2 linked regions of the Macaca fascicularis genome follow. The protein of the gene in region 1 interacts with the protein of each later gene in a pairwise test. Links are inferred from orthologs where the notes say so. Each region holds a gene or a part of one and is shown in the gene's direction. Other genes may lie near its edges.

Evidence for each region.
Region 2: the proteins of BOLL (region 1) and small EDRK-rich factor 2-like interact in a two-hybrid assay, tested with the Homo sapiens proteins (2 studies listed by BioGRID and IntAct). The two-hybrid records come from large-scale screens. The link is inferred for Macaca fascicularis from reciprocal best matches to the Homo sapiens genes BOLL and SERF2.

What each region holds. Positions count from the first base shown.
Region 1 is NC_088386.1:93,362,302-93,365,819, reverse strand, and holds part of BOLL (protein boule-like), read left to right. Parts: intron 1-1,116; coding exon 1,117-1,244; intron 1,245-3,518. UniProt on the Homo sapiens protein: Probable RNA-binding protein, which may be required during spermatogenesis. May act by binding to the 3'-UTR of mRNAs and regulating their translation.
Region 2 is NC_088387.1:73,609,077-73,611,237, forward strand, and holds small EDRK-rich factor 2-like, read left to right. Parts: upstream 1-1,273; 5' UTR 1,274-1,325; coding exon 1,326-1,502; 3' UTR 1,503-1,645; downstream 1,646-2,161. UniProt on the Homo sapiens protein: Positive regulator of amyloid protein aggregation and proteotoxicity. Induces conformational changes in amyloid proteins, such as HTT, driving them into compact formations preceding the formation of aggregates.

The sequences.
Region 1 (3,518 bases):
CTAATTAAGAACCATTAAAATAAATAATAACAATACTAGATCAAATGCAGTGAAAATATAAAAGCTGAGGAGCAATAGTATTACTTAAAGTGATAGGCCCGTGCTATTTGAAGTGTGGTTTGCAGACAGTATCAGTTCATTGGAAGCTGTCAAAATGCAAACTCTTAGGCCCTGTCCCAGATTTACTGACTCAGAATCTCTGAAGATAAGTCCCTGGAATTTGCATTTTAATAAACAATTTAGGTGATTCTAATTTATGTGAAACTTTGAGAAGCACTGGTACAGGTGGAAGAAGAATTGTCAGTTTCACTAATTTATATAACCTTGCTGGTTAAGACCCTAATCTAATTTGGCTAATTTAACTTTTAAAGTCTCCTCCATGACAAAAAAAAATATGTATATTATTTATTGTTTTTTGGTTTGTGGTGGGGGTTTATATAACTTGGCCTGGGAAACGAGATGGGGACCCCAGACTAGCCACATGAAGACTTGAGGTCATGTTTGCAACAGCAGCAGTTGTAGCAAAGGGAGACTAGATAGAGAATAGATCATAGAAAAGAGAGAGAAAAGAGAGCCATAGCATGAATGAATGTTTGCTGGTAGGATATCCAAAGAATTAGTAGGGTGGAACCAAAATGTCTTCAGGAAAGTAGAATCTTCTCCAACTCTACTGCCTCCATCATCTTTGAACTTTCAGAAATAAAAAGTCTAGCCAAGACCTTAGGAACTTTACTATAGTGTATATAGTCTTAAAGTAATTATACATAATTTATATTTGTACAAATAATTACTTTGCTGATGATAATCTAAATTGTTAAGCTCTGTGTAGCATACTGGTGTTGGAATCTGAATTGATACATATTTAGTATTTCTATTAGCATTGTTTATCTTTTCTTTTAATCATCTTAAACTAAAAGCTTTAAGGTATTGAGTTTAAAAATACATGCTTCAAAGATACTTTGACATAAGGAAGTTTTTTTAAATACCTGTGACATTCCATTTTTACCATAGCTACAAAGGTATATTAAGATAAATATTTTTCTGAAGTGTTTAGAAACTACATTTTTAACAGTTAAATTGAACGTTTTAATTATTATTATTTAATCTTTGCTTTAGGTTCTAGTATAATGCCAGCAGCTGGAACAATGTATCTAACAACTTCAACTGGATATCCTTATACTTACCATAATGGTGTTGCTTATTTTCATACTCCAGAGGTAACTTCTGTCCCACCACCTTGGCCTGTAAGTAATTTCATTTAAAAAGGATTTCTACCTATTACTTATTGATTTTTTTAATGTTTGTTTTATTTCTGAAATATTTCAACCACAGATAATTACAAATAATAACACACGTCAACTAAATTTAATAGACATCAACATTTTGCAACATTTACTTAAGTTCTTAAAATGGGGAGTAAAGTAAGACAGCTTCATGTCAGTTTTCCTTACCTTCTTTCCTGTTCAGAAGTAAGCAGAATATCTTTCCTATTCATTTCATATATTTTTACTACAAATATATGTATTCATAAATGACATCTAGTATTGTTTTAGTGGTTTTTAAACACTGTATAAATAATCTGGTTTTTACACTCAGCATTATATTTTTGAGATCAAACCATGTTTGTCTCTTTTTAGATTATATCACATTGATCCTTGTATATGTAGTTCACCTATTTTAATATTTTATAATATTTCATTGTATGAGTGTATTACAATTTTTTATATTCCTCTATTGATGGACATTTTAAGTTTTTTCTACAAACAAGGTTACATTGAATACCCAGATCTTGTATGTATTATGTGAGGGTTTTTCTGGGTGGGGCAGTGGTTTTCTAAGGTTTTACTTATTATATAAATTATCTCTGAATTTTTTTGAAATATTATGAAAACAGTCACTCATTTTTAAGTTGATATCTGAAGTTTATTATAAGTTTAAATAGTTTAGGAATATTGTATATTGTAGGTTTATATATTTTCATCAAAACTTTGTATCTGTAGATTTAGCTTACTTAATAGTGGAAAGTGTCTGCTCTATAACTCAGTTAACAAAGCCGGTCAACCAAATAAAACTACTGAATAAAACTTGCTTTTAGAAAATTCCGACTTTATTTTTAAACTCAAATAAATGATTTAATATGTATCCATGTGACCATCGGCTAATTTAAGTTTGTTCCCTAGATGAAATAAGTATCATCTCCCCTTTAATACTTCTTATGCAAGCTCTTTCTACTTTGCCTTCTCTCATTTCTCAGGGCATTGCCCTCTTGAGTTGTATATCTGTTTGATGCCCTGTTGGTATTTACATTCCTGAACAAAGCATTATAGCAAGATCCAGAAGGAGAGAGAAATACACCTTTCTTTAGGGAAGGAAAAAGGTGATGGTGAAAGGAGAGATTTTAAAAGAAGAATACATATTACACAGACACAGTCACAGGCAGATCACATCAGAAAGCAGTACATATGAAGTTTAGAATATGAAAATTCATACTCTTAAAGTTATTCATGCCCATGTATTTATTACTGGAAAATTTTTGTACTTCCCTAATGTACCTTGGCCTAGGCTAGGATATATACATAGAATTTCACATTCATGAAATATGCATATCTTTGACTAGATGTTGCCAAAGAGCTTTTGAAAGTGTACATTCTAGCCAACAGTTTATGACAGCCCCATTTTTCCATAATCTGCCAACCCTTAAAATTACCAGATTTTTAAATTTATGTCAATATTATTTTATGCAGTAGTATTTTGTTTTACTTTTATTTGCCTAACTTGTAGTAATATTGAACATATTTTCATGTATTTATTGGCCATTCTACTTTCTTCTATGAACTGCCTGTTCATATCCATTGTCCATTTTTCTGTTGGGGTGATTTGTTTTTATCTTGAGTTCGTTACATGAATTTTGTGGGTTGCCAATATCTTCTTCCAATTTGTGGCTTGTTCATTAACTCTTTTTGATTTTTTTCTCATGAAAATTTTATGATTTTTTTGGTCTTTTTTTACAAGAATTTTTTCTTCTTTTTTTATTTTTTATTTTTTCTTATACTTTAAGTTCTAGAGTATATGTGTACAATGTGCAGGTCTGATACATAGGTATACATTTGCTGCAAAAACTCATCATTTACATTAGGTATTTCTCCTAATGCTATCCCTCCCCCAGCCTCCCACCCCCCAACAGGCCCTGGTGTGTGATGTTCCCCACCCTGTGTCCGAGTGTTTTCATTGTTCAATTCCCACCTATGAGTGAGAACATGCGGTGTTTGGTTTTCTGTCTTTGTGATAGTTTGCTGAGAATGATAGTTTCCAACTTCATCCATGTCCCTACAAAGGACATGAATTCATCCTTTTTTATGACTGTATAGTATTCATTGGTGTATATGTGCCACATTTTCTTAATCCAGTCTATCACTGATGGACATTTGGGCTGGTTCCAAGTCTTTGCTATTGTGAATAGTGCCACAATAAACGTATATGTGCATGTGTCTTTATAGTAGCATGATTTATAATTCTTT
Region 2 (2,161 bases), on another chromosome or scaffold:
GTGTCTCTGTGTGAGTTGGAAAAAAGGCAAATCTTCCTCTAGGTGAATGGTTCCCTATTCAAGGCACACAGCTAGAAGAATGGAATGTGGGCTGAATTTCAGGCCCCACTCACTGTCTTAAGCCAGGCGAACTTGCAGAGGGTACAACATGCATGGCGTTATGCAAAAGCCCCAACAGAGAGATTACTTCTCCATAAACTAATTTTTCTTTTTTTTTTTTCTTTTATTTTCTCAAGACATAAGGTCTCCTCTGTTACCCAGGCTGGAGTGTAGTGGCACAATCATGGCTCACTGTAGCCTCAACCTCCAGGGCTCAAACGATACTTCCACCTTAGCTTCCCAAGTAGCTGGGACCACAGGCATGTACCACCACACCTGGCTAATTTTTATTTTTAGTAGAGATACGGTTTTACTATGTTTCCTGAGCTCAACTGATCCTCCCGCCTCAGGTTCCCAAAGTGCTGGGATTACAGGTGTGAGCCACCGTGTCCAGCCTAATTCTTCTTTTTAATAAAAAAGGATCTACCTTGTTTCCAATTTTATAAAAGAGGAAGTTGATGGTAAAATAATCTAACAAGGAAATGCATTATAATGAGAAACCAATTACAGAAACTTTGTCTTATAAATGAAGCACCTATAAAATCTACTTACTAAAAAATTAGTGTATCTCTAACTTGACTTCTTTTTTTTGAGATGGAGTTTCACTCTTGTCGTCTAGGCTGGAGTGCAACGGCGCCATTTCGGCTGTCTGCAACCTCCGCCTCTTGGGTTCAAGTGATTCTCCTGCCTCAGCCTCCTGAGTAGCTGGGATTACAGGCACTTACCACCATGCCAGCTAATTTCTGTATTTTTAGTAGAGATGGGGTTTCATCATGTTGGTCAGGTTGGTCTCGAACTCCTGACCTCAGATGATCCACCCACCTTGGCCTCCCAAAGTGCTGGGATTACAGGCATGAGCCCCCTGCCCCGCCTAACTTGACTTCTTTTAACAAGCATCCATTATGATTCAAGGAACATATTTTTGAAACACAACACCTAAAACTGATTAAGAGGCTTATCCTGATAACATAAGAAAGCTACATGAACACCATTTCTGAATATTTTAAAGCGATAACAAAATTAAGTACTGTTTCTATAACAGTAGAATGGTACGAAAAATACTCCTTAAATGTATTTATTTATTGTAAATAACTTATACAGCCAAATTAATTTGAATTATCCAACATGAAATTAACTTTGTGAAACCAAACACTTCTTTACAAAAGAATTTTGCGGGACAGAACGAGGGGACGTAACGGAGGCAGGTCGGAGCCGCTGCCGTCGCCATGACCCACGGTAACCAGCGTGAGCTCGCCCGCCAGAAGAATATGAAAAAGCAGAGCGACTCGGTTAAGGGAAAGCGCCGAGATGACGGGCTTTCTGCTGCCGCCCGCAAGCCGAGGGACTCGGAGATCATGCAGCAGAAGCAGAAAAAGGCAAATGAGAAGGAGGAACCCAAGTAGCTTTGTGGCTTCGTGTCCAACCCTCTTGCCCTTCGCCTGTGTGCCTGGAGCCAGTCCCACCACGCTCGCCTTTCCTCCTGTAGTGCTCACAGGTCCCAGCACCAATAGCATTCCCTTTGCCCTGAGTCTGCAGCAGGTCCCTTTTGTGCTTCCTTCCCCTCAGGTAGCCTCTCTCCCGCTGGGCCACTCCCGGGGGTGAGGGGGTTACCCCTTCCCAGTGTCTTTTACTCCTGTGGGGCTCAACCCAAAGTATTAAAAGTAGCTTTGTAAAAAAAAAAAAAAAAAAAAAAAAAAAAAAAAAAAAAAAATTTGCCTGTATCTTATTTAAAACATTTATAAATATGCTTCCTACAATGCCTTGCCAATTAACTGTGAAAAAAAGTTTAACTTCAACATTAAAAATAAGCAATAGAGAAATAACCCAAAACACCATCATAATTGAGAACACCTGATTATCAATGATTTGTCCAAGGTACAATATTGAACTTTGTAGAACAAAGGGAATAAAAATTCTCTGGGTAGAACTTACGAACAATTTTTAATTATAGTACCCAATCTGTTTTTGTTGACTGGTTTGTTGTTTATCAACAGGGTCTCACTCTGTTGTCCAAGCTGGAGTGCGATGGTGCAATCATGGCTCACTGCAACCTCCACCTCCC